Linked DNA regions of Oryza sativa Japonica Group. The protein of the gene in region 4 interacts with the protein of the main gene of each other region in a pairwise test. Links are inferred from orthologs where the notes say so. Each region holds a gene or a part of one and is shown on either strand. Other genes may lie near its edges. The genes, in order: uncharacterized protein At1g76070; probable protein phosphatase 2C 37; cBL-interacting protein kinase 9; putative protein Brevis radix-like 3; alpha-glucan water dikinase, chloroplastic; sm-like protein LSM2; B3 domain-containing protein Os03g0120900.

Region 1 (2,875 bases), on a different chromosome or scaffold from region 4:
TGCTCTCATCGGTAAAGTTTTTTTTTTAAAAAAAATACTTGCTTTATTGCCTATTGAAATACTCTCTTCGTTCCAAAAAAAAAAGACAACTTAGAAGAGAGTACGTATGTTGTCTTTTTTTAAGATAGAGGAAGTACGTAGTAACTAAGATGTCGTTCTGCAGGAGAAAACAACCCAGCGAACATTCATACGCAGCATTACTTTCAAGCTGATTCTCTCAGTTACTACTAATCATATTGATTTTTTTTCTTTTAAAAAGAAGGAACTGGTAAAGTTTACTAATTCTAGGATTGATGAATCATGAAGTCAAATCACACATTGCATTTTTTCAACAGGTAGAGTCAATTTTTATTACGTATGCCATACAGAAAATTCAGAGTTCCATACATATACTTGTGGGTGGACGTACGCTAGCGAGTAGTATTCAAACTGGACGGGTGTACTATAGGATTTACATAGAACGACCACTGGTTCTTTTTTATACGAAACATATATATGTTCGCTGGACTAATCCAGCACAATGGGGCCCGCGGGGTATTTTAATACGTGTGACTGTGTCTCAGTCAGTCAAACCCAAGAAAAATGAAAAACGTTTTCATCGTTTTCCCGGTGAATTAAAAAATCGTATTGCCCTCCGCAAACGAGAGAACACAATCGATCCCCACGCGTCGACGACGCCACCGACACCGTCCGTCAGGCCGTCGCATACGGATCACTTGCATTGCAGCACGTACGCCAACCAAGTCGTCGATCGGCCGTGGTCACGGCCACCGCCGGAAACTCCGCGGCCCTGCACCCGCACCTGCGCCCGCGCGTACGTTTGACGCGACGAGGAAACTCTCTTGCGCGCGCACCAACCGTGGCCGCAGGTCGCATCCAATCCACAGCCGCGGTGCGCGGCCGCTGCGGCTAACCAGTCCAAAGTCTCGTCGCGCATGCAGCAACCAGGTCTCGCGTTTCATTTCCAAACGCAAGCAAACGGCCCGTTCAACCGAACGTACGCCGCGTCGGATCGACCGGTGCAGAGACCGCGTCCCGCCCAGGAAAAACCCAACGCACGCCCAACCCCCCACCACACCACTGCTCGCTGTCACCGCCTGCCTCGCGCCCGCGCGCGCGCTGGTTGGTTGATTGATAGCTGTGTTTCGCCGTGAATTCAATACCCGCTCCTCGCTTTGACCACGCACGCACACGCGAACACACGACAACGCACGCGAGTTGTTATTATTAGTCGCGGCAGCTAGCCATCCCATCACAATCTACTCGTATAATCGCATTCATTCACCAACCCTAAACATAATCATCTCATGCCCCTCTGCCTGTGGTATATAACCCAAACTAAAGCCGCCTAAAGCTACATCGATCTGCACACGACAAGAGAACCAAAGACACAATCCGTACGCACGCACACATCATGCCAATGGAGAAGAAGCACAGGCACGCGAGGTCCAGGAGCTTCAGCGGCGGCGCCATCGTCTCCTTCCTCAAGAGCACGGCGGCATCCTTCACGGCGACCACCACCACGGCCTCCGCGCCGCCGCCGCCGCACGGCAGGTCGTCGTTCAACCACCGCAACGCCTTCTCGGGGCCCATCGTCTCCATCGTCCCGCCGGAGGCGCGCGGCGGCGGCGGCGGCAGCCGCCGGGAGCACCGCTCCGGGTACCGGACGCCCGAGCCGTCGTCGCCCAAGGTCTCCTGCATCGGCCAGATCAAGAAGGCCAACGCCAAGAAGGTCAAGGCGAGCTGCAAGAACGGCGCGTGCCCGCTCCCGCCCCGGCCGCCGGCCGACGCCGCCGCCGCGCGTAGGCAGAAGAGCTCGCTCGTCAGGAGGATGCTCTTCCGCCGCAGCAGGTCGCGGAAGGCGTCATCGTCGTCGTCGAGGGACGGCGGCTTCTTCAAGGGGAGGACGGCCGGGCGCGCCGGCGCCGCCGTGGCTGCGGCGCCGGCACCGGCGGGGCTCGGGCAGATGAAGCGGTTCACCAGCGGCCGCGCGGCGTTCGAGGACTTCGACTGGAGGGAGGCGGAGAGGATGGCGAGTGACGACGACGACGACGTGCTCGTCGCGCACTCGGCGCCGCTCGTGCTCGGCGGCGGCCTGGTGGCGTCGGAGCCGAGGAAGGAGGTGAACCTCTGGAGCCGGCGACCCATGGCTCCTCCCACTCCGCTTCGACTTCCATAGATGACGTCAGCGTGCATGAGCTTTTGCATGCGTGTTCATCGATCTGTTCGTCCATTTCTAGGCCCAAATGCGAGCGTATTCCCATTCCAATGTAATTTTTTGATTTTTTTTTGTTCTTGGAGTAATTTGTACAGTCATATACTTCACACGAAACTGATCAAAAGTACATCGATAGTTGTTTTTTCTTCTCCTTAAATTTTAGATGTGATGCTTTTGTTTAGAAAAGAAGATACAACGAAAGAGAACAAAATAATTAAAAAAAGGTTGTTAGATGAAAACAACTTGTTGTTTTGATAAGTATATGAATGGATTTCGTGTAAGATGAGTCTTGGAATATGCTTGACAACTCAGAATTCATAATTGTTGGATTGAGTCCGAAAACGGAAGCTACAGGATTTTGACTTATTAGTGCCTGGAATTGTCACGAGTTCAACTTTTCTAATTAATGTTCTGCTTAATTTCTCCGCACATTTTCTCTGAAAATCCGGCCTCCATCGAGCGTGCAGTTACGACTTGTGAAAAATAAGTTCGGTCAGCACAAGCCAGCCAGTGCTGACAAGAGCCAAGCCAACCATTAATAAATGTCCGAATGATGATTTTTCAATGGTTAATTAAGTGGTGCAGGACTTAATTTTAAAAAGCTCCGTACAAGAGTGAATTGCTCATCAAGTGGTCTGAAAAAATTCGGATCGAATT
Region 2 (4,118 bases), about 26 Mb from region 4:
GTTGGGGACGGTGATGCCGGATCTACGGCTAGAGGCCATGGGAGGAGCGGATCCACCGGCGGCGCCCTTGGGAGGGGTAGATCCATCGCCGAGGAGGTCGGGGATGGTGGATCCAGCGTTGTGGAGGTTGGGAACAACGTCTAGGTGCATGCATAACATGTGGTAGTTTAAAAACATTTAACCATATCTTCTCATTAATATGCGATGCAAAGACGTGTGAGATGAGGCGACATAATGATAGAGGCAAGTTTATAAGGTGATCTCTTCTTCCACCTCCTTCGTATACTATACTCCACAAACTTGTGAATGGTTCCTTCCTCTTCATTGTTTGGCATCGCACTTGTAATGCCTATCTCACTATCAACACCTCCGGTGATCTCGTTATCAATGAGAAGAGAGGAAAGAAGGGAAGATTATTGCTCACCCGTCCTACCATGTTATAGAGGTAAAATTACTTTGATTTTTTTTACTCTTTAGTAGATGTGTTTAAAATAGTTTTGATCCCTCTTTTGGTTGATCTCCTCGCCGGTAGCTGCCCCTTCCTCCTCCATCCTTCAGGAACCACCGTGCTGGAGATGGATAACACCTTTAGTATAGGTAAGAGATGAAATCCTACAAATGCACCTGAAAAATGAGTTACACTAAGAAATATAGCCTGGCCACCATCCAAATTTATCACGTGCTCCCACATATAGAAGGATTCTAGAAGCTAATTAGGGGCAAAAAAAAAGATTTTTTTTCTTTCTCCCGTCATTTTGTTTTGGTGGTATCACCGACCTTTGTTTCCCATTATTCAATACAAATGATGCAAGTTCTAATCCCAGCCAGAGTCAAAAGCTTTCAGCCTCACCTTCTCGGTTATGTTTATCAGTCAGGATTTAAATTTTTAGCTTTAGATTTGAAGTTGATTTTAGGACCTTTTATCATAGTTTATTTTCCAATCTTTATTTAGAACATTAAAAATACATATATAAAATTTTAATTTACAAATTATTTTATATTTGTAAATATATCATTTCGTCTTTTCTCTAATATGTCAAAGGATGGGGCTCTTTTGGTTTGTTTGGTAGTTGGGTGGTGATGTAGCAGCAGCAGGGGCCGGCCAAACCGGGCTCGGGGAGGGCGAAAACCAGGGAAGAGAGGCGCGCAGCCAAACCGCCCGACGGCGCGCGCACCACGCGCCCCCCGCAGTCCCCGGACACGTGTCACCCCCTCGCCACGTCGCGTCCATGCGGGCCCCACCCCCCACCCCCCACGGAAACCACCTCCCCCCAACCCCAACCCCTCTTCTTCTACCTCCCTCCTCCTCTTCCCTCTCCTCCTCCTCCCTTCCCATGATCGGTGATGGTGATGGCTAGCGCCGGCGTCAACATGCCGGGTGGCGATGGGGACCACCCCCCCGCGGCCGCCCAGGAATGCCACCGCCTGCGCAGGCGCCGCTACGTCCCCGCCGCCGCCGCCGCGTCCGAGGACGGGGACAACAGCAGCAACGGTGGGGGCGAGAAGAGGAGCCTCCCGGCCTCCTCCGCGTCGCCGTCCCCGTCCCCGACCTCGTCGGCGGCTTCCTCCGACTGCTCGTCCGACCGCGACGACGACGGGTGCTCCTCCACCGCCGGCGCCGCGGCGCGGCGGCTCCCGCTCCCGTCCGGGGCGTCGACGGCGGCCGCGGTGTGGCCCGTCGCGTTCGGGTCCGTCTCGCTCGCGGGGCGGATGCGCGACATGGAGGACGCCGTCTCGCTCCGGCCCTCCTTCTGCACCTGGCTCGACGGCTCGCCGATGCACTTCTTCGCCGTCTTCGACGGCCATGGCGGCCCCCATGTACGTCGCCCCCCCGCTAATCCTTTGCTTAATCCCATCATTATTTCATGCTAATCCTACTCATCATAATCTTGGGTTAGAAAGAAAAAAAAAACAGAGAGAGAGAGAGAGAAAAAGAGATAGAGATTGGATTGATTGATTGCGAAAATGCTGCTGTTGTGTTGTACCGCATTGCACTGTTTGATCCACCTGGCAATGTTCTAGCACCATCGAAACCGAGGTCGACACGTTTTTTTTTTATAAAATTTGTCGTTTAATTTTCGTTTTTGGTTTTTACTACCACTGCTCGATCAGTGACGTGTGTTTGTTTGGTTTTCTCTTTTTTTTGGTGTGATCGATGGACAAAAAAAAAAAAGCAGGTGTCCGCGCTGTGCCGGGAGCAAATGCACGTGATCGTGGCGGAGGAGATGGTGGCGGAGGCGGCGGCGCTGCGGCAGCGGCAACCGGCGGCGATGGAGGAGGAGGAGGAGGAGAGGGCGTGGCGGGCGGCGCTGTCGCGGAGCTTCGGCCGGGTGGACGCGCTGGCGGCGGTGGCGTGCGCGTGCGGGCGCGCCACCGTGCCGGCGTGCCGGTGCCCGCTGTCGGGGCAGACGGGCGCCATCATCGGCTCCACCGCCGTCGTCGCCCTCCTCGTCCGCGACCGCCTCGTCGTCTCCAACTGCGGCGACTCCCGCGCCGTCCTCTGCCGCGCCGGCGACCCCCTCCCCCTCTCCTCCGACCACAAGGTAATCAGCCCTTCCATTCCTACGTGGCACCCTCCTCACACGCACACGTGTCCCTCACACCACGGCTTTGACCGTACCTGCCAAAATATTCCAAGTCTCGCGCTGCCGTTTACCGTTGACTCCTGCGGGGGGTGGGCCCCAGCCGAGGTGTCGCCTCTCCGGAACCTTCGCGGCCGCGGCTGCCTCGCCGGCGACGCGTGGTTGGCCGCCGGCGACCGGAGAAAAAGAGAGAGGTCGCTCTCGCTTGTCGGAGAGACATGGATCGCCTCGCCTTGCCGTGCTCGCCGACGTGGACCCCGCTAGCGTCATCACAAAAAAGATTATCACCTCGTATTAAAAAATAATAATAAAAAAAATAATTACTAGTATCTTTTTTTCTTCTCTTATTATGGTCTGTTTTTGTTTTGGCCCTCTCATTAATGCGAGTAGAAAGGGCAGTGGCAATTTGGAGAATTTGTGGGAACCTCGGGGGTGGCTGCGGAGGGGCGCGGCCCACGTGGTGTTGGGCGGGGGAGGGGGGGGGGATTCCGAAGTGTTTTAGGTGGTGTTTAGATCCAGGGACTTAACTTTAGTTCCTGTCTTTAGACACTAATTTAGAGTATTAAATATAGACTACTTACAAAACTAATTACATAAATAAAAGCTAATTCACGAGACAAATTTTTTAAGACTAATTAATCTATAATTAGAGAATGTTTACTGTAGCATCACATAGGCTAATCATGGATTAATTAGGCTCATTAGATTCGTCTCGCAAATTAGTCCAAGATTATGGATGAGTTTTATTAATAGTCTACGTTTAATATTTATAATTAATTTTCAAACATCCGATGTGATAGGGACTTGAAAGTTTTAGTCCCATCTATACAGGGCCTTAATCCATCGCTTTCCTGGAGGGGGACACGTGTTGCTCTCGCGCGGGGCACGTGGGGGGATAAGACTGGTCAGAGTGTGGGGCCAGCTGCTTTGCTGCTGTCTGGTGGGGCCCACGTGAGCAGTGAGAGGGGGTTGGCCGCCACCTCTGCCACCTGTCCCTGCTCCTGTGTACTGTGAAGTTGCTGTCCCTTTGCCTCTTTTTTTTTCTTTTTTTCTTTTTTATTTTTGCTCTTCCTGAGATGGATTGTGGACCCACACTGGTCAGAGCTTCCTTTTCTGTGGAAAGGGGGAAAAAAGAAGGGGAAAATTGGCTGGGTGTGGTTGGCTGTGGTAGGTCCATGAGGGGGGTAGGAGATGGGGGCAGTGGTTGGTGCGACAATATTCGTGCTGGATGTGGTAGTGTGATTAACCTAATCTTGCTCTTGTATCTTGCTAATCATAAGTGTGATCTTGCTGCTGACGAACCTAGATTACATGGTACTATAATTGACGGTGAATTATGCAGCCGGACCGGCCGGACGAGAAGGCGCGGATCGAGGCGGTGGGTGGCCGGGTGGTGTACCTCAACGGGCCGAGGGTGCGTGGCATCCTCGCCATGTCGCGAGCATTAGGTAATGTCATCGTCATCATCATTGATCTAAATTCTGTCTGCAGGCACTATCTTTGTGTGTTGTGTTTGCTACTCTGCTGTAGAAGAAC
Region 3 (4,276 bases), on a different chromosome or scaffold from region 4:
GCGCGCATGTATCGTATGGTCTGGAGACGACGATCCTTTTCTTCTCATGGGCTGGGCTTCTTTCACTCGTCGACAGAGAGCATCATGGGCCAGCCCACCGTTGTTTTTGTAAGGCGAGAGCGAGAGAGAGAGAGAGAGAGAGAGAGAGAGAGAGAGAGTCCGGTTTCAGGGCCTGTTTGTCAACTGGGCCTGAAAGAATTGGGCCAGGTTTCTCGCCAGATTATGGGCTCCCAAACAGAGGGTTTTGGGTTTATGACATTTCTTCTGCTGCTAACCTGCCACGTTGGGAGCTGAATATCTACGAACTACGTCAAAATGTATAAAATCGCGGTTTTAATTTTTCTTTTCAGAAATCTCTTAGCATAGCCTTCTTAAAATAGAAAACTAAGCATTTTCTATCTAGCACGATTCTACTTTCTTCTAACTCGCGGTTAGGAGTGTTTCTGCGACAACCATCAAGTATAACTCGACAAAAATCACCGGCCATGGAGCTCATCGAAGTACGTATCCTCCTGGAATCGAAATCCCACAAGCTGACAACGCAAACAAAGTCGCACGTGGAACTCTCACTCCAGAACAACAGTGCTGTCCCCGTCACAATAATCTCGCCGTCTACTTCCAAAGTCACGAAAGCTGCTGCAGTATCAACCACTAACACAAGAGTTGCAATCACAATTCTCTCCAAATGTAATGTGACGGTTACGATTTCAAATCAGCAATCACACACAGGTCGATCGGTCACGCCCCCTGTCGTGGTAATGCCTTGATGGCGGCGAGGAAAAAGATTTGAGAGAATGTGGTGTGCAGTGCAGGCAGCGACGACGAACGGGACATGGCACGAGGCGCTAGTGGTGGTGTGGTGCCCCCGCGTGACGCCGCAGGATAAGGCTCTCGGCCCCATCGCGGCATCAATCATGCATTCACGCTGCTACTGGCCTACTGCTATTGCTATTGCTATTGCTAGCCGCTTGCTGATTCGTGGCGCACCGCTTCCGACCGCGACCACATCAGGCAAGGTTAATTGCGTGCATGATTGCTGGAAAAACAACACAGCAAACGGCATACAGTAGCAAGATCACACACGTTCGTTTTTGTCGTCGTCGCGGTCGCGGTGAATTGTTCAGAGGAGAGCCAGAGTTTGTTCAGGGGAGGACGTGTGGAGCACGGATGGATCAGCGCGTCGTTTTCAACGGAGGAATGATTGAGAGTACGGCACCGTACGGGTGCTCCTTCGAGGAAGGTGCAAAGCACGCATGTTCAGGGTTACTACTAGCTCGTTGCCTGTCGCTGTGGCCACGGTGGTGGACGACGGCGAGATTTTCCCTACTCCAGCGTAAAGAAAACCGAAAGGAGCGATCTCCAAGTGGCAACACGTAAAATCTCGCCCCACATTTGGATTTATCCATCCGAGGAGGAGCCACGGTTAAATGCCGCGTTCGCGCGTGCTCGTTACGTACGCGTGTTGCTTTCGAGTTTGATTAATCGTTTTTTTTGCCGGGGTGGTGGTGGGATTGGGATAGAGTTCGGGCCACTGCCTGTGAAAACTGTGAATCGCGTCGCGTTGCACACGGCCAAAACGATAGCGCGCGCACGCACGCACGCATCCGTGCCGCACGCCGCGCGCCGCCTACGTCTCGTCCCACGCGGTTCCCGACCGGACCCCACACCACACCTGCCACCAACGCATCTCCGCCTTATTTGAGGCGCGCGCACGGGGCGCCCAAGCCATCCAGCCTGCGTGCGACCTACCAACGCGCGCACTCCTCGATCCCATCATCGGAAGGCGGCGAGGCGCGCGGTGGAGGATTGATCTGCGGGAGGGATTGATGGCGGAGGCGGAGGCGGAGGCGGCGGGGGCGGGGGCGGGGGCGGGGCCGGCGAGGAGGACGACGAGGGTGGGGCGCTACGAGCTCGGCAAGACGATCGGGGAGGGGAGCTTCGCCAAGGTCAAGGTCGCCCGCGACACGCGCACCGGCGACACCCTCGCCATCAAGGTGCTCGACCGCAACCATGTGCTTCGCCACAAGATGGTCGAGCAGGTCCGCCGCCTTAATCATCCTCAAAATTGAATATTTATCTCTTTTTTTAGACATCAGGTAATAACAAGTTGGATCTTTTCTCGGAGGGGATCGAATTAAGAATCCTAAATTATTCTAGATAGATGCTAGATTATTATAAAAGATGGATTTTCATGGGGATTAATAAACATTAAACGAGAATATGCGCTTACTACGTCTCTACCATTGTCAAGATTCTGTCTGTTTGGATTGTTTGTGATTGAAGAAAGGTCATGTGTCCGCCTGTCCAGCGGGCTAAATCTGCTCTGATCTAAAGGAAATTAGATGGAATTGTATCAAGTTTGAATCGGAAATGTAACAACAGATTATCAAGCTGGGCCATGTAACTATAACAATATCTCCGATGCGGTGATGCCAACCCTGTCTTAATCAAATGCTTTCTGCCTAGCAAAAAGCTGTGCTAGCTTTGGTGTTCGTAGGAGTGGCAAGAGTTGTTCTAGATTCATTTTTTTTTCTCGGGGAGTTATAAATTCAGTCTGACTGGGGGGAAACTCGGGTATTGTACATTCCGTGCTAGATCACTCATTGGTTGATGCATTGTTTGGTGGAAAAACTAGTATTTTTTTTGGTTAAATATGTGATTTTCCATATGATGTGTTGGCACAATTAAATGTCCCTGCTCGAGCTGTTCTGTTTTCCAGCTTGAGCTTTCGATTGTGAATGATAACCTCATATTCCACTTCTATCAGATCAAACGGGAGATTTCCACAATGAAGCTAATAAAACATCCAAATGTGGTCCAGTTGCATGAGGTACTTTGCTATCTTTGCAGGAACAATAGCGTCATTACCACTCATACCCTTCTTTTTTTTTTTATCTCATCTCATTCAATGAGAATTTTACATTCAATGTGTGTTTGACAGGTCATGGCTAGCAAATCAAAGATATACATGGTTCTTGAATATGTTGATGGAGGCGAGCTTTTTGATAAGATTGTAAGGCCCATGAACTTTCTGTGCCAGATATCACGATTCTTATTTTTGTTTATGTACAAATTGCTTTTACATGCTGTAAGAGTAGCTTGTTGAACCGGCACATTTGACTGTTTTGATACTGACTGACTAATCCGCAGTTCTTGGACCATACAAGTTGACCCATTTATCATCATGTTATTATCAACTAGGTCAATTCTGGGAGACTAGGAGAAGATGAAGCAAGAAGATACTTCCATCAACTTATAAATGCAGTAGATTATTGCCACAGCAGAGGAGTGTACCATAGAGATCTGAAGGTTTGTTGAATTATCCTGCTTACCTCCTTTCTGGGTAATCTCCACTGGGATGGATGTATTCTCATTCATATTTTTTATGTGCCATTTGCAGCCAGAGAATCTGCTTCTTGATTCACATGGAGCTCTTAAAGTTTCAGATTTTGGCCTTAGTGCGTTTGCTCCACAAACAAAAGTATGATATCTAGCTAGTACCCAGAAGTATGTTTTTGTAGTTGTTAAAAAATTAACCAGTTTCTTTATCCTAATGTGATGTGTTTGGGTTTTCTAGCATTTTTCTGGTTTAATTGACTTGTTCCTTAACTTGCACTATTACCTCAAATGAACTTCGGACGCATAATTATTTGTTTTGGTGACAAGAAAGTTGAAAGAAGTAACTTTGGTAAACTATTTTGATTGTTTTATTTAGGAGGATGGACTTCTGCATACTGCTTGCGGAACACCAAATTATGTTGCACCTGAGGTGATTCATGTTGCCTTTGATTAAACTCGTGTATTTTCTCCAAAAAGATGTAAGAATCATATATTCATACTGTTCCCTCAGGTGCTTGCTGATAAAGGTTATGATGGTATGGCTGCTGATGTATGGTCCTGCGGCATAATCTTATTTGTCCTCATGGCTGGATATTTACCTTTCGATGACCCCAACCTAATGACCCTTTACAAACTGGTAAGTATGTGTAACATGCACGCATTCTAATGTTTCTTGTGAATTTCATTGGTAAACTTGATAGACTTTTGATGTTCTCTTCACAGATCTGCAAGGCAAAAGTTTCTTGTCCACATTGGTTTTCTTCAGGTGCGAAGAAGTTCATTAAGCGCATACTTGATCCTAATCCCTGCACAGTAAGTGACAATTAAGGACATATATCTTCAGCTAACCAGTTTGACCAGCTGACTGCTGCTAGTCCAATGAGTTTCATTGTATATCCTCTTTGAAGCCTTTTATGATGGCAATTTGAGAGAAGTC
Region 4 (4,207 bases):
ATGACTTAGAGACTTGAGGCAGACACGATCACCCACGTGGCCTAACTCCCTCGGGGGGGGGGGGGGGGCGGGCCCGAGGGTGATACGGCTGCCCTTCTCTTTGTCTCCCCAAGGGGTCGGGCCGCTCCCGTCTCGGCCCCGAGGGCCGAAGCGCCCCGACCCCTTGTGGGTTTTGCGCCACGTATATGGGGTAGGTGAGCATGGCGGGGCTCACCTAACCACATTTATTGCAGTTTTGACGAGCGCGTCACGCCGCCTGTATCGCAGTACAGCACGCTCGTTTATCCGGTCTGTGACCAGTCACAGACCGGTCAGATCATGGGTTAGGTGGCGACAGGCGGTCTGACGCACGCCTCGCCCCATCCCGTCAGGACGAGAGCCTCCAAGCACTCGTCCCTAGCTGGAGCCGGCGTGTTAGCTCCTGGAGATGGCACGTTGGTTCCGGTCAGATATATGCCAGGCTTCATCCTAACCATTACAGGCAAGATATTGTATGAAGAAGGGCGAACATGCAGATTGTTAAACTGACACGTGGTGGACAAGAATGACCGATTTGTGACCGGTCTGACAATGGTCAAGTCATCAGCAGACAGCCATCTTCCCACGTCGCGCCTGCCTCCGGCGGAAGTGGAGGTAGGTATGGGCCGTCCCATCAGAAGGTCATTCGGACGGCGGCGATGCAAATCTCCGTCTGTTAATGAAGAGAAGTCAAATTGGAAGAAAGAGAGGGGGAGATGGTGCATGTGGTATCCCCTTAAGATATAAAAGGAGGACCTTGCCCACTTAGAGGGGGGATGATTGGACTTTTCCAGATTGGGAACCCAGAACAAGAGAGAGGCTGGCTCATACTTTGTAGCTCCTTCATACACAGATCCTCCAAAACACAGGAGTAGGGTATTACGCTTCTCAGCGGCCCGAACCTGTATACATCGCCGGCGTCTTGTGTGTTTCCTGTCTCGCGAACCTTCCACAAATTGGGAGCTTAGAGTCTCACCCAGGGTCCCCGGCCGAACCGGCAAAAGGGGACCAGCGCGGTCTCCCGGTGAGGAGCCCCACGCTCCGTCAGTCGCTATGGGCTACTCGCCTATTGGGCTTGCAAGCACACGCTGACGTACTTTGCGCCATCAAGATCGGACGGTCCTCGATCATGACAAAGCCCCGTCAGCATATGCATCACATCGCACGGTCCTGATCGCGCCACGGCAGCACGTTCGTCATCGCCACGGTCCGTGCCGGGGCCCGGGCCTTCGCGGGCCCCGCAGCGAATCACCGTAGGTGGGGCCCAGCCCAGGACCAGGGAGATGACCACACGCCGCGCAGGATCGGACGGCCGCGATCTCGCGGGGACCGCCGCGTGTCCCGTGGGGGAGGGACTATATATGGGCCGGAAACGAGACGGCTTGCACTGCCTGTGCACTCGGCGCCCTCTCGTCGTATATGGGGGAAGGATCCGACGGCCCAGCGCGACGCCCGCAGTGTTCTCTCCCTCCCCACCTCGATCTCTCTCTCTCGCTTCGTGGCTCTTCTCTCCTGCGACTGCGAGAGGAATCTCCCACTCAGTCCCAGATTGTTTCTGTGCGGCGACAGCGTCGCTGCGTAGCTTCTGATATCTTTGCCGCCGCTGTGTTTGGCGCCATTGACGCAGCCGCATCCACTCCTCGACCAGACAAGGGAGGCCTTTCTCTCTGTGCTATCTCCAAAGGCTTCTGAGTCGATTCAGAGGCAGAGCTCGAAACCGAAAGGGCGGCGAAGGTGAAGCCGACCGGCGGGCTGCAAATTGCGCTCGTTCGCTCACCGGCGACGTGGAGGAGAAGGTAATGGTGGTGACGGCGACGCACGCAACCAGCTTGCTTGATGCTTCGTCTTATCTTTGCTTTGCTTTTTTTTTGTGTGTGTGTGTGTTGAGTTACACTTTTTCTATGTTTTGTTTTCTCGTCTTGCATGCCGTTTCTTACCCTGTTCTGTTCACCAGAAAGTCAAAGTCCGTTTATCTTGGTGTCAAAAATAAAAGGCCGTTTCTCCTTGCATCCCGCTCTCGCTTCTAGGCGTATACATATTTATTTTGGCACATTTTTGTCTGCATCATTTCAGGCGCCGGAGAGAGAGGAAGAGGAGGCGGAGCAACCCGGTCAGCGCGCGCGTAGGTGGTTTGGGTACGCACACTGTTTACACGGCGAGCAAACTCGGAGGAGAGAGAGAGCTGTGGCTAACGTAGCTATCTGGGGGCCGTCAGTTACCTGTAAGCATCATCTCATCACTCTCACTGTGCCTCTCATTTCTCTCTCCCTCTACAGCAACATTAATTAATTACTAGCTGATACTACTACTGTACAAAAGAAATTACTACCACCGGCCAAAAGAAAACACACACAATACCGTGTTTAAGGTTATCACGTCGTGTTTCTATTAAAAAAGCGCAAAAGATAATCAGCAAAAACCCTACCGGGCTCCACAATGCAGTCACTCGATAGCCGGTCGCTTTAGCCGGGGCCCATATTTTTCTCGGTAGGGATGGAGCAGGAGGAAAAAAAAAATAAAGTCCAGGCAGTACGTTGATCTGGGGGAGGGCGTGGGGCCCCAGCTGCAGTGACTGTAGCTGATACACATCTGAGCGGCTCCCTGCCTCGTCCACCGAGCTACTGCTGTTGGTGTCGTTTGGAGTCTTCCCCATACGCCCCTGCCTACCTCGCGTGGGTAGCTGCGCCTCATCTGCATGAACACTGTGCACAACACATACACAAACGGGCGGAGCTAGCTAGCCATAGCACACTGGTGGTTAATAAATTTCCATGTGCGCGTAAACATCAGAAGCTTCCCTGCCGCAATGTAGCTGACCGTATTTTACTACTACAACCTGCTTTTCAGTTTTGATTTACTAGTAGTATATGTGTGTGTGTCATGTGGCATGGCGATTAAAGAATCTCTGTGCCTGTGCCCGTCGATCGATCTGCTTTGCCCCGCGTAGCGTTTCTTCCACTGTGTTAGAGCAGCCTGCGAATGCATGCCATGCATGCAGGAGTAGCTGTGAACGACTGTGATGCTGCCATTGGCATGGGTCTTGCTTGCTTTGTTATGCTGGTGCTATACTTTTTTGTCGCTGCAGGCTCCAGTGCTCCACTGCACCAGCTAGCCAGCCAGCTTGCCCCGTTTTGACGCCGGTGGCGAATTGAAGCTCCAGAGACCAGAGTCCCTAGCTATAGCTATCTCTCGTACATACGCATGCTTGCATTGCTCTCTGTTGCTCAACGAGCCGGAAGGACAGCTCCTCCGACGCACACGCATGCGCACGTGTGCGTGGTCACGGACCGGCCGGATAGCTCTGTGCTCGCATAGTGTACCGGATGTCGTGTTCGCGTGCTTACATGTGAGATGCAAGGATGGCATGGCACGTCTGGTCCAAATGGTGTGTGGTACTAGAATGGCGTCACACACCGGCTTGGAAACCGCTTTACGTTATTACAGTACATTGTAGATTGTGGCTATGGCTAGAGGATACTAGACTGATAGTGTCACTGTTGATACTTGATAGGAGTACGTACTTTCGGCGTGTATTTATTTTGGTCGTACATACGTGTGCGTGGATACACGAAATCTCGCACTCGTTTAATTATCATGGAAATGTGTACTATACATGTACTAAGTGTACTATTGCCATGCGAACAACGACAAAGTTTGACCATCTCATGGATAGACATTCTATCACATGCATGCATGCAACTGTAGCCGTGGGCTGTAGTGTCTACATGACGGCATGTCTGATCAAACTTGATCTTTCGTTACAGCGGCTTCAATTCTGATAGATAGCCGTACTGTGGTAGTACTATATATGTAACGCTAATGCACACACTTTTGCAGTTCGATACACAAGGTGAGATTGTGGGGGGAGCGATTGACTACTGATTGATCCGTCTCGTCGTCGTCGATCGAGGAGAGGGAGGCAGATAGGGAGAGGGGGTCAGAGAAGATGCTGGCATGCATCGCGTGCTCCTCCAAGGAAGGCGGGGAGGACGGGTCCCGTGGCGCGGCCACGCCTCACGGCAGAGATGCCGTCAAGTCCCTCACCTCACAGGTACCCGTCTGTCCCTTCTTCTTCTTCGTCTTGATCTAAACTTCTTCTCGTACATGCTACTCCTGGATCGAATTTACACCTGCTACTTTGCCATCAGTACTGCAGTATATAGAGTGTACTACTACATGCTACTAGCTC
Region 5 (3,500 bases), on a different chromosome or scaffold from region 4:
ATACATAAATAGTTATGTTGTGCTCTGCCACTATTCGTATCTTTTATTAGGAAAATGGAACAACTAAGGTAAATTTCTCTAAACAATTGTGTACATAACATGGAAAAAAACAGAACAGTTGTACCTTTAAGCAATATAGGATATCTTCATTGTCGTCGGTGGATAAAGCAAGATTTTCAAGGACAAGACTGATGAAGTACATAATTTTCTGGATTAGATAAAACAGGAACATGACTTAATACATTTGAATCGTCAAAAAGACAAGATACAATGTGAGACAAACACATGCCATAATGTAACCTATAGCAACATCCTGTGTTAACCAACCTCTGGTTCTACATTATTGAGCTCCTCATATGATCTTTCAACTGCTGTCCTGAAAGTAGAATCAAGAGCAATGTCTAAAAAGATAAGATCCTTCATGCGTTCAGGAGAGCCAAGGAGCAAAGGGTGTAGTTCAGCTCGAGCCTCCAATAACCCCTGCAAGGTAGCATTTCAACATTGGCAACAAAGGATGCATATGGAAGTTGCAAAGACCAGATGGATTAGGCAGGTCAGCTATCAGTCATTTATAAGAAATCTAAGTATTGTCTTGTAATTTTGTTTTTCTTTATTTTTTTAGATAATGGAACGGAGGTAAACCCGTGGACATGGCACCAAATATTGCAAACATGCCTGGGTTTAGTATTGCTCACCTCAAGAAGTGGTTCTGCTGATTTATCCTCAACATGGTCAAGTACAAATTCAAGCAATTTCTGTTGAAGTAATGAATATTATGAGCTTTTAATTATGATAAATGTGTTTTTTTTAAAAAAAAGAAGGCAAGGATGTTTTACAGGAAATCCAGATGGCAAACCCTTCACTGGATTAATCTGAACACCAACCATGAAACCTTCACCCTGTATCCCAAAGAAACAATTACATCATATATAACCAAATGAAACTTTCACAGTATAACAGACATGAGAATGGTACCTCTGATTTGTATCCCATGCAAGTTGCTATAGCAGATTCAAGATCAGCACCAGAATGCACTGCCTAAGAAAACAGAAGTAGAAATGTACAATACTATTGAATCAAAGTATAATTATGAAAATGACAAATTTTCTAATTAGAAGACCAAGACAATATACTTGCAATACAGATCTAGCGGCACCATTTAATTGTTGGTCAAAACATACAAATGAATCTTGCAATCTTAGAATGAAATACAAATCTAGTGGTACCTTTTTATATCACTAAATGTATATATAATTAGCCTAATTATTGGTCAAACTTACAAAGTTTGAATCTTGGAATGTGTACGCCTGGTAAATTTGGTTGGATGGAGTAGTTTGATGTTAACACTTGCCTTTTATTAACAATGCTAGTAATAGGGGTGCTGGATAATGGAGACGATTCAAGAGAATGATTGGTAAACTATATGAAACGTAGAAACTATAGTGTGATATTTTTGTTTCATTTCCTTAAGATTCCCATACATGAAGGCAAAGAGATAAATTTCTATTCCTGCCGCAATTCCCTAAAATAATAATAGAAATGGGATTTCACTGGAGATGTCAATTATGCAGATTTTACTCTTAAGGAGCATGTTACCATTCGCAGTGATTGTATCAGGGTACCCTCCATCTAAAACGGACCAAAGCGAAACATTATCAATTAAGCAAAAAAGAAACATAAAGTTAGGTTTAGCTTGACCAGAGTCTCTTAATATCAGGACAAGCTCAGTACCAACGAGAGCAATCTAGCCTTTATCCTAATCTTTCGACCCTTATTCAGCACATATGGGACATAATAACATGTACTGTTACCAGAGAATGCCACCTTTCAGCATATGTGATTAGCAGTATATTGTTTAGGGTAGATCTTGTAATATTTCTTAACTACAAAGCAAAATAAGGCCTTTGCAAAAGCAAAAATTTACGTAAAATCGTAAAGATACTGCATAGATATCTCAATTATCTACGCCAGATGTTTGACATACCTTGAGGCTTCTCATATAATTGCCCAAGTCACGGAGTAAGCCATCTTTCTGTTCACTCCTGAAATTTGGCTCTGAATGAATCGGTCGATCATAGCTCAATAGACGCTCTTTTGTTATACCATCTTTTTTCAAGGTGTCCCAGTAAACACCAATATCAAAATCACTCTTGATATAATCAAGTAGGGCCTACCCATGAAGAGACACAAGTCCATAAATATCAAAACCCCAATGCTGAAATCTGTATGGCATTAAATATCTGCATGTCAATTACCTGGCAGATCACTACATCATCTGGGCTTGTATTGTTGTGCAGTTTCTGGTGCCACTCCTCCATCATTCCACCTTTGCAGTCATTATTTCTCTACAATACCAACCAACTAGTATTTATTGTTGTATAGTTCAAGTTGATCAACAAACAAGTTGATATTCACCTAGGAACATTAATTTACCTGGATTACTAATATCTCATCACGAATGCGTTGACCAACATCACCTTCACCTCCCCGACCAACAGCAGACATTATCATTCTTAAGATCTCCTGATATTGTGGGTAAGTTCTGTACATATTCTCAAGATCATCTGTAAACCTATCTTGTGCTTTGCTTATCTCACTGCATAGTTGTAGATCATTATGGATGTTAAAGAAGATGCAACAAAGTCATGTTTGTGTGATATGCAAATAGAATAGGTTCAGTCTGCTAAACAGCATTCTATTTTTTTTCCTGTTATGCTTTATTAGGACTAGAAGGTTTTTATTCCCATCACAAGAAAAAAGTACTTATGTAGTTAATTTGATTTCTTTTTGCACAGAGAGAAAATTCACTGAAGAATATGAAACAAGTATCTACCGTGGCTTCACATTGTAGTTCTTGTTCCATATTAGTTGCCTTGTAGCCATGAACCTAATCCAAACAAAAATTCCAATAATACCCAATAATCCATTATCTCTTGCTTGGTCAACTAGATCTGCTGCAATATTGAATCTGTAGAGGAATAAAGGTAGTTCAGGGATTTTTTTAACACACAGAACAAGTCATACAAGTAATAGATATTGTGTCACCTGACCTGTGCATAAGAGATCGTTGGGCATCTTCCTCTAGATCTGCTATTCTTTCAAGCAAGGCCTTAGCAGTGCCTTTACCAGCATCACCAGTATCCTTTAATTACGAATATATTCAACAGTTTATTAGTAAGTGATTTTTACCACAATTATTTAGATATTCTTATTTGACATTGAAAATTTTTAAGGCCTTGTTTGGTTACATCTGGATTCAATCCGGGCCGGGAATGAGAAGTATAGTAACAAATTTATGATAGATGTAATAAGAGACCGGGATTTATTCCAGATCGGGAACCAATTTACTCATGATAGGGACAACAAAACATTCAGATTAGTTCTACACCTCTTGACTAGTGGATTGATTCCCGGTCTCTTATTGTCCATATCATGAGTAAATTAGTTCCCAGCCTGGAATAAATCCCGGTCTCTCATTGTATCTATATAAATTTCTTATT
Region 6 (3,941 bases), on a different chromosome or scaffold from region 4:
GTCTTGAACGAGTCTTTGTCCAACGTGGCGCTTACGTGGCATTAGAATAAAAACAAAAAAAACATGTGGGACCCATATGCCATTCACACAAAAAGTGAGACCCACTGACATGTGGGACCCACATGTCATCCTCCCCCCCTCTCTCTCCTCTCTCCCTCCCTTATCTCTCTCTCATGGTGGCAGTGGCCAATGGGGACGAGGCGGAGGGGAGCGGTGGCGGCGGTGACGGCGGTGGGGAGCGACGGCGGTGGCGGTGGGGACGAGGCGGAGGGGAGCGGCGACGGTAGCGGTCGGGAGGAGGAGGAGAAGGCGGAAGAGGTGGTTTACGGGGACGATTGTGGCGGAGGAGAGCAGAGGAGGAGGATGAGGAGGAGGAGGAGGGCGTGCTTCGTGCTTCAGGGAGGAGCTCGTGCCGCTGCCGCCGCGCTAGCCAGCCGCCGGTGACGCTGACTCCGACCCCCCACGGGGGCGGCTCCCCTCTCATACCCCTTCCTCCCTCCTAGTGGCCGCGGGCCATAGCCGCGTTCTCCACCGCCACCGTCGCCGCTCCCCACCACCTCGTCCTCACCGTCATCGCTGGCGCTGCCTGCCACCACCGCCACCAACGCTCCCCTCCGCCTCGTCCCCATCGGCCACTGCCACCACCGCCGCTCCTGAGTCCCGAGAGAGAGAGATAGGAGGAAGAAGGGAAGGAGAGGGAGGATGACATGTGGTCTCTCATGTCAGTGAGTCCCACTTTTTTGTGTGAATGACATATGGGTCCCACATATTTTTTTTGTTTTTATTCTAATGCCACGTAAGCGCCACATTTTTTAATTTTGTTTTTGTTCTAATGCCACGTAAGCGCCATGTTGGATAAAGACTCGGTCAAGACCGCCACGTCAGCCAAAACCACTTCCAAAACCACCGAGGGATATTGTTTATTTGTTTGCACCGGTTTTAATAGTTGGAAGTTGGAGGACATGAATCATACTCGGGTGATAGTTGAGGGAGTCAGAGTATACTTTTTTCCTAATAAATAAAGCTATATGGGCCTTTCACCCTAACCCGGCCCATAATAATATGGTTTGGTCCTATCTCATACCCAACACCCAACCCAACCCAACCCAACTCCTCCTCCTCCGCCTTCTCGCGCTCTTCTAGGGTTTTGCCTCCTCCCGATCCGGCTGCCGCGCTTCCATCTCCGGCGGTCCGGTCTATCCTCTCCGCTCCTTGCGCCTGCGCCGATCTCCATCTCGCTACCAGGGGAGGGGGAGAGGCGCTCGCCGCCGTCGTCCTGCTGCTTCTTGGTGAGCATCCGCATCCTCTTTTCTCATTCATCTCCCTCTCTCTCTCCAACCCACCCGCTTTTGTGTCCAATTTGCTTGCCTGCGTTAACTGTATCTTCTCTTCTAGATCTGGGAGAAGCTGATTTTCTCTTAATTTGATAGCCTTAAACCTTAATAATAGGACTAGAAGTTTTGTTTTTATTTGCCCCTCAAAAATGTTTGGGGATCCCGTCCACTGGGTGCTAATCCTGCCTCTTGCGTCTGCAGATTCTTCGGAGCTAAGGCGGGGAGGGTTCTGCGGCCAGTATGGTAGAATATTTTTTTTAGTTTTTTTTGTTCAACTGCTCGTTGATTTCTTCTCTTCCCACTTCATTTTTTTTGTTCTGTTAGTTTGTGTTGATTTTTATTTTTTGTTCTGTTGATTTGGTTGCTGTGCAGCTGTTCTTCTCCTACTTCAAGGAGCTCGTGGGGAAGGAGGTGACGGTGGAGCTCAAGAACGACCTGGCCATCCGCGGCACGCTCCACTCCGTCGACCAATACCTCAACATCAAGCTCGAGAACACTCGGGTTGTCGACCAGGACAAGTACCCGCACATGGTATGCGATGCGATGCGATGCTGCTCTGGTTATCTATCTATCTGTCTGTCTCTGTCCTGGTGAAATATGGATAGCAATTAGCCGCTTGTTTGCATGGGTACTTCTGTAGATATATTGACTCTGCAGCAAACACAGTGTTTCTTGGTTCTTTACGGTGGTCTTCTGTAGATATATTGACTCTGTATGCTTTGTTCTCTGTTCAAGATAGATTTAGGAAGTTTTCATGGTTTTGTACTTCAATATGCATGTGCGTTTGTGCATTTGCTATGGTTTTTCAGTTGATTAATTATTCACTTCTTTTTACCGTGTTTACACATTTTTCTATTCCAAATTAGCTTGAACAACACACATGTACATGTGGCAACTCAGTCAATTTGATAAGGTCAAAATGGTCAAATAGGACTATAACATTTTTTGTAATTACTATTATGTACTACCTCCGTCTTGAAATGTAACTACTTTTGGCTGTGAATGTGGACAAGTACTTGTCCAGAGTCATAACCAAAAGTAGCTATATTTTGACTTAGTAGTATTGAAGAACTTCAAGGGGCTATTCATTAAAATGTAGTTCATGGAGGTGGGGTCGCACTGCCTTCTTTCAAAAGGATTTATACATAGATATTGGTTCATGCACGGTGCTAACCCCGGGCTTGTCAGAATACTATCCTCTGAAGGAGCCCCAATGCCTGTGCTACATCTTCCATGCCATTCAGTGTTGCAGATCATGATGCTTCTTGTGATTGGTCTGTGTCAGATTAATGGATACATTCAAAATCACCTCATTCTACATGATTTCAGATTTCTTCTCTTCTGTTTGCATAGCATGTACTTGTCATCTGTTGATTTATTAATCTGTTAAAGGAGTACCTTTAGCATGATCCTTACATGTTTAGTTAGTGCTGAATGCTGTATCACAATTCAGAATGGTTGCACGTCTGACATGTAGTTGCATAAGTAAAAGAAGTACGATATGGATATGGATCAGGTAACACTCTCCGTTAGTAACTAGGAGCTCCGTCAGTTGGCCAAGAGCTGACTATATCCAAAAATTGATTTGTGGGTAAACTTTTATATGTCTTCTTAGCAACTTAAAAGCCAATGTTGAAAAAGAAACTAAGTTGAAAATACCCTAAAATCAACTCCAAAAAAAAAGTTCTAAAATTCAAATTATGGCAGCAGCTGATTCTTCTTTGGGCATACAGTGAGGCCCAAAATGTCAGTTATAGGATCCCAGTATCCCACAACCAAGAGTATGCATAAGGAAGATAATAATAACCATCTTTATAAACCATAGTAGATATTACTCTTCATTAGATCACTTGTTACTCTCTGTTGTTTTGGGCATGGGCCAGGCCCATGCAGCAGTTTAGGCATGATAATTTAGGAATAGTCAAATAAAGATAGGAGAGTATCTAGTTAGGAAAGAGATGATGTTTATTAGAAAGTTATAGATAGATATTGGATTGGTTTCTGTAGTACTAGAGATTAGTTCCTTGGATGTCAAGTCTATCCTCCTATATATAAAGGGACCCCATATACCCTATAATCAATTAATATCTGAAGTTAGCGCTAAGCCTTAGAGTTCTAATCAATGAGTCTTTCAGCTCAGCAGGGAGAAGTCCTGCCGCTGCTATTAGAGGGCGAGTGCCCTATCCCCTGGTCTTCAGACCCTTACCTTAGCCAATCCATAACACAGTGGTGTGTTGACTCCAATCAATGGTTCTGTAGTAAATGTCCTGAAGTAGTCACCAGCTAATGATAAAAGGCGGTATGTCTAAATGTTTGTAGAACAAACTTTGGGCTACATTGACATGAATTTAGGAATTAATGGGGAGTAGATCATATAGTGGTATACCTAGTTCGTGACATGCCTTACTGGTGCAGAATTAGGAGCTTAAGATGCACTGGTAATTCCAGTGCAAATACTGTTGTAACCAGGCAAGCACATTACTTGACAGGGACAACCAGTATCCGTACCTAGATATTTATTTGGCCTTCAGTTCCATCCAATGATATTGTATGAAGGGTGTACTTTTGTACTGCATAGGTTACTAAAGATTGCTTGTTAGTTGTTAC
Region 7 (4,122 bases), on a different chromosome or scaffold from region 4:
ATCTGGATGTATACATATTGATATTTTAATTAGTTTGGCAACAATATCTGCAATTTTAGGTAGGTACGTTTTAGTAGTACGTACTACCCTGCAATCATGTACAGCTAGGAGTAGGAGATGCTGCAGATTTGCAGTACAATCACCTTGAATTTATATATGGAGAAATGGAAGAACGACGACGTGCAGTTTTCAGAGTCAGAAATGTGTGCAGATTGCAACAAATTAAGGTAGAGTGGTTCAGACTGAGCATGAGTGATAAGAACCAGGCAACTAAGATTTAACATAATAATATAAGCAGCCCATACAGTTGCCAGAATGGGACCTTTTAATTTGTTCTATCGGAATTCCACTAAAACTAAACAAGAAGTATATGCATTAATTAATTTATTCTTAACCTGAAAATGCACGTGGTGACATTTAAAACGAAAAAAAAAAACTTGCTAACTGAATTAAAGTGTATGGTCGGCATAACTCTGAAAAGAACACATGCATAACATAACTTCCAAGTTCCTATACTGCTTAAGTGCTTATGTCATATGTACATACTACTATCAAAAGTAATCTAACCTAGAATGAACAATCCAAACTCTAGAAGAGCAATATTGCAAAAGTTTTAGTTGACATATAAAGATTTTTAATATATACTTCCAACTGAACCTGTAGATTGGAATGTTAGAGTATCAGCCCCATTGTATCTGCAAACAAATAATAATTTTTGAATAAAACTTTTATATATGTGTTCTTAAGGATCTAAAACCAAAGGCTGAAAAATAAACTTCGATGAAAAAACCCCAAAATCAACTCTAAATTTAAGGTTGAAAATTCAAATTTTGGCTGATAAGCATAAGCATAAGCGAAAAGATGAGGCCATATATATGGAAGTTGGAGATATATTACGATATGATTGATTTGCGTGGACTCATTCCTTATACCTTACTGTGTAACTCCTATATATATACCGCCACCGGCCATCTTAGACTCAATACAACGTGTGTATCTCTCTCCCTCTACTATTCAACATGGAATACACAAGTAAACCGACGGCACAAATACTTGGTACATTCGCACACATATAATATCTGCATAAAATACAGTTATAAGTTACCTACCAATAAGAAGAGATGTGCATGTTGAAAATTTGCAGCCTACAACTGGCATTTTGGGGGGTTCATCACCTGCCTAACTCACATAAAGGCTCCCTATAGCATGAGAAGGACAAGCTCACATGAGCTCAACCAGATAATTCGTGGGCCCCACACTCCTCTCACAATCCCTACCATCTCTTTCCCTCTCCTCCCCCACTCCTCCTATCCCTCTCTCTCATCTCTTCACCCTTTAAAAAGCAAGCTAGTGTATTGTGCCCACCCTTGCCCTCCTAGGCTACACCTCACCCTCCCTCTCTGATACACATGCATACATACACAAAGATACATAAATACATATATACATATACATGTGTACTATACCTACAACAACACACATCTGCTCCACACTAGTATATAGCTACTAGGTAAGTAGCTAGGCCAATTACCTTTGGTTGCAAGCCAAAAGTAAGTATCCATCCTCATCCTTTTCCTCCTCCCACCAAGAACCTTCATAGTACCACCACCACCACCACTCATCACATCTCACACTCATTGCCTCTTTCTTCTTCCTCCCCATCTAGCTCTAGCCCCTCTCTTGTTCAAACACCTTCATCTGAATCTCTTGAGCCTGAATTTTCCCAACACAAGCAAGCACTACAATTGAGCTAAGCTATAGCACACACACACACACACAAACCCTGAATTCCCACTTCCTAAGTTCCTATAGCTAAGCATATAGTAGCCACAAGGAGCTAGCTAATTCTTATTAGCTATAGCTCCAGATCCCTCACAATTCTAAATTTCCAATCCCAAAAGACCCAATTAAACAAGAGATAGTTGCCTCCTAATCCATATAATAAGCCCTCAAATTAACTAGTAGCCATATACTATCAATAGTAACAAGGCAGCACAAGCAGCATACCATAAGCATACATCGGGTCAAAGCCGAGGTCAAGTCCACCGGCAGGAGGACAAGCCGGCGGCCGGAGCCCAGAGGAGGAGCTGAGGCATCATCGATCGATCGATCGGCATAGTGCACGTACATGGAGTTCATCACGCCAATCGTGAGGCCGGCATCGGCGGCGGCGGGCGGCGGCGAGGTGCAGGAGAGTGGTGGGAGGAGCTTGGCGGCGGTGGAGAAGGAGCACATGTTCGACAAGGTGGTGACGCCGAGCGACGTGGGGAAGCTGAACCGGCTGGTGATCCCGAAGCAGCACGCGGAGAAGTACTTCCCGCTGGACGCGGCGTCCAACGAGAAGGGGCTCCTGCTCAGCTTCGAGGACCGCACGGGGAAGCCATGGCGGTTCCGCTACTCCTACTGGAACAGCAGCCAGAGCTACGTGATGACCAAGGGGTGGAGCCGCTTCGTCAAGGAGAAGCGACTCGACGCCGGGGACACCGTCTCCTTCGGCCGCGGCGTCGGCGAGGCCGCGCGCGGGAGGCTCTTCATCGACTGGCGCCGCCGCCCCGACGTCGTCGCCGCGCTCCAGCCGCCCACGCACCGCTTCGCCCACCACCTCCCTTCCTCCATCCCCTTCGCTCCCTGGGCGCACCACCACGGACACGGAGCCGCCGCCGCCGCCGCCGCCGCCGCCGGCGCCAGGTTTCTCCTGCCTCCCTCCTCGACTCCCATCTACGACCACCACCGCCGACACGCCCACGCCGTCGGGTACGACGCGTACGCCGCGGCCACCAGCAGGCAGGTGCTGTTCTACCGGCCGTTGCCGCCGCAGCAGCAGCATCATCCCGCGGTGGTGCTGGAGTCGGTGCCGGTGCGCATGACGGCGGGGCACGCGGAGCCGCCGTCGGCTCCGTCGAAGCGAGTTCGGCTGTTCGGGGTGAACCTCGACTGCGCGAATTCCGAACAAGACCACGCCGGCGTGGTCGGGAAGACGGCGCCGCCGCCGCTGCCATCGCCGCCGTCATCATCGTCATCTTCCTCCGGGAAAGCGAGGTGCTCCTTGAACCTTGACTTGTGAAGAGGGTACGGCCGTACACGTACACGATCTCTGCTACTTTATGCTTCAATTCTGCTACTACGTACTGACACAAATGGAAATCGTCGACGAAGAGTGTGACCGGAGAAGTAAACAAAGGCGGCGATGGCGGCGCGCAGCGGCGGCGGTGGCGGCGGAGGTGGAGGCGCTTGGAGCATCTAGCGCCTTCGTATTTCGTATATAGCTCATCATCTCTCTTAAATTAGTCAGTGCAGTGTGAGGGGGAACAGTTTAAGAAAAAAGAACGAAGCAGCAACGTACCCAAAAAAAATATTCTTTCTAGGTTGATGGTTTTTTCTTGCTTCGATTTGCTTTGCCTTTTTCTCTTGTGCTTAATTATAATTAAGTTTTCTTAGCTGCTCGATCTCTTCTTTGTGTCTGGGAGAAAATATATACTACTGGTACTAGTGATTAGGGGAAGAAGAAGGAGAAGAAAATATAATTGTTTCCAAGAACTCCAGCCCAATTGTATATATCATGACTGAGCCTATGGAAACACCGGTGTGTGATCCTCACATATGATAACAATCAATTTGCACTGATGGTACGAGTTTATATATGTACACTTGTTATATATACATACTGGTGATGAGCTAGCTATAGCTAATGGAGATTGTTACATTGGAGAGCCCGTACTCTACGCATCATGTATACTGGGCACATGGATTGTTCTTGGTGCTGCCGTTGTTTGTGCAGGTCAATTGGGCTCTCCTTCCAAGGCATCAGCAACAGCAGCTATAGCTAGCTAAGCTGTGATGAAGAGAAGAGAAGAGAAGAGAAGAGAGGAGAAGAGAGGAGAAGAGGCCTTTAAAATGTGGGGAGCGAGCCAGCCTGCAGGCCAGCTATCAAGCTAGGACAGGCAGTTATTGGAGGGCTGCAGGTCAGATCCTAAATCCTTCTCCTACACATGCATATTACAGTCTCTCACTCCTCTCTCACTCCATATGTATATATGCATCCCTAGCTATACATCTTTCTCTCTCCCTCTGCACATCACTGCTCCGTTCTTGATTTGGTTTGCGCATTTGTCTCTTGTGCTA

What was found.
Region 1: the proteins of putative protein Brevis radix-like 3 (region 4) and uncharacterized protein At1g76070 interact in binary tests that used the Arabidopsis thaliana proteins (3 or more experiments, as listed by UniProt). The link is inferred for Oryza sativa Japonica Group from reciprocal best matches to the Arabidopsis thaliana genes BRX and AT1G76070.
Region 2: the proteins of putative protein Brevis radix-like 3 (region 4) and probable protein phosphatase 2C 37 interact in binary tests that used the Arabidopsis thaliana proteins (3 or more experiments, as listed by UniProt). The link is inferred for Oryza sativa Japonica Group from reciprocal best matches to the Arabidopsis thaliana genes BRX and AHG1.
Region 3: the proteins of putative protein Brevis radix-like 3 (region 4) and cBL-interacting protein kinase 9 interact in binary tests that used the Arabidopsis thaliana proteins (3 or more experiments, as listed by UniProt). The link is inferred for Oryza sativa Japonica Group from reciprocal best matches to the Arabidopsis thaliana genes BRX and CIPK9.
Region 5: the proteins of putative protein Brevis radix-like 3 (region 4) and alpha-glucan water dikinase, chloroplastic interact in binary tests that used the Arabidopsis thaliana proteins (3 or more experiments, as listed by UniProt). The link is inferred for Oryza sativa Japonica Group from reciprocal best matches to the Arabidopsis thaliana genes BRX and SEX1.
Region 6: the proteins of putative protein Brevis radix-like 3 (region 4) and sm-like protein LSM2 interact in binary tests that used the Arabidopsis thaliana proteins (3 or more experiments, as listed by UniProt). The link is inferred for Oryza sativa Japonica Group from reciprocal best matches to the Arabidopsis thaliana genes BRX and LSM2.
Region 7: the proteins of putative protein Brevis radix-like 3 (region 4) and B3 domain-containing protein Os03g0120900 interact in binary tests that used the Arabidopsis thaliana proteins (3 or more experiments, as listed by UniProt). The link is inferred for Oryza sativa Japonica Group from reciprocal best matches to the Arabidopsis thaliana genes BRX and NGA1.

What each region holds. Positions count from the first base shown.
Region 1 is NC_089043.1:25,826,729-25,829,603, forward strand, and holds uncharacterized protein At1g76070, read left to right. Parts: upstream 1-1,358; 5' UTR 1,359-1,414; coding exon 1,415-2,179; 3' UTR 2,180-2,375; downstream 2,376-2,875.
Region 2 is NC_089038.1:4,739,910-4,744,027, reverse strand, and holds the start of probable protein phosphatase 2C 37, read left to right. Parts: upstream 1-1,318; 5' UTR 1,319-1,344; coding exon 1,345-1,818; intron 1,819-2,177; coding exon 2,178-2,543; intron 2,544-3,924; coding exon 3,925-4,030; intron 4,031-4,118. UniProt on the Arabidopsis thaliana protein: Negative regulator of abscisic acid (ABA) responses during seed germination.
Region 3 is NC_089037.1:1,524,333-1,528,608, reverse strand, and holds the start of cBL-interacting protein kinase 9, read left to right. Parts: upstream 1-1,476; 5' UTR 1,477-1,826; coding exon 1,827-2,039; intron 2,040-2,767; coding exon 2,768-2,830; intron 2,831-2,941; coding exon 2,942-3,013; intron 3,014-3,201; coding exon 3,202-3,309; intron 3,310-3,400; coding exon 3,401-3,481; intron 3,482-3,715; coding exon 3,716-3,769; intron 3,770-3,850; coding exon 3,851-3,976; intron 3,977-4,062; coding exon 4,063-4,152; intron 4,153-4,276. UniProt on the Arabidopsis thaliana protein: CIPK serine-threonine protein kinases interact with CBL proteins. Binding of a CBL protein to the regulatory NAF domain of CIPK protein lead to the activation of the kinase in a calcium-dependent manner. Involved in K(+) homeostasis under low-K(+) stress.
Region 4 is NC_089038.1:30,809,023-30,813,229, reverse strand, and holds the start of putative protein Brevis radix-like 3, read left to right. Parts: upstream 1-1,407; 5' UTR 1,408-1,814; intron 1,815-2,091; 5' UTR 2,092-2,239; intron 2,240-3,855; 5' UTR 3,856-3,964; coding exon 3,965-4,069; intron 4,070-4,207. UniProt on the Arabidopsis thaliana protein: Acts as a regulator of cell proliferation and elongation in the root and shoot. Regulates roots architecture and primary root protophloem differentiation.
Region 5 is NC_089040.1:18,341,712-18,345,211, reverse strand, and holds part of alpha-glucan water dikinase, chloroplastic, read right to left. Parts: intron 3,143-3,500; coding exon 3,051-3,142; intron 2,969-3,050; coding exon 2,834-2,968; intron 2,597-2,833; coding exon 2,434-2,596; intron 2,346-2,433; coding exon 2,256-2,345; intron 2,171-2,255; coding exon 1,985-2,170; intron 1,039-1,984; coding exon 976-1,038; intron 900-975; coding exon 837-899; intron 756-836; coding exon 696-755; intron 481-695; coding exon 328-480; intron 209-327; coding exon 125-208; intron 1-124. UniProt on the Arabidopsis thaliana protein: Mediates the incorporation of phosphate into starch-like alpha-glucan, mostly at the C-6 position of glucose units. Acts as an overall regulator of starch mobilization.
Region 6 is NC_089042.1:3,159,069-3,163,009, forward strand, and holds the start of sm-like protein LSM2, read left to right. Parts: upstream 1-1,141; 5' UTR 1,142-1,289; intron 1,290-1,535; 5' UTR 1,536-1,574; coding exon 1,575-1,577; intron 1,578-1,706; coding exon 1,707-1,865; intron 1,866-2,493; exon of another isoform or gene 2,494-2,635; intron 2,636-3,941. UniProt on the Arabidopsis thaliana protein: Component of LSM protein complexes, which are involved in RNA processing. Component of the cytoplasmic LSM1-LSM7 complex which is involved in mRNA degradation by promoting decapping and leading to accurate 5'-3' mRNA decay.
Region 7 is NC_089037.1:1,158,955-1,163,076, forward strand, and holds B3 domain-containing protein Os03g0120900, read left to right. Parts: upstream 1-1,358; 5' UTR 1,359-2,128; coding exon 2,129-3,064; 3' UTR 3,065-3,069; exon of another isoform or gene 3,070-3,156; 3' UTR 3,157-3,622; downstream 3,623-4,122. UniProt on the Arabidopsis thaliana protein: Regulates lateral organ growth. Functionally redundant with NGA2, NGA3 and NGA4.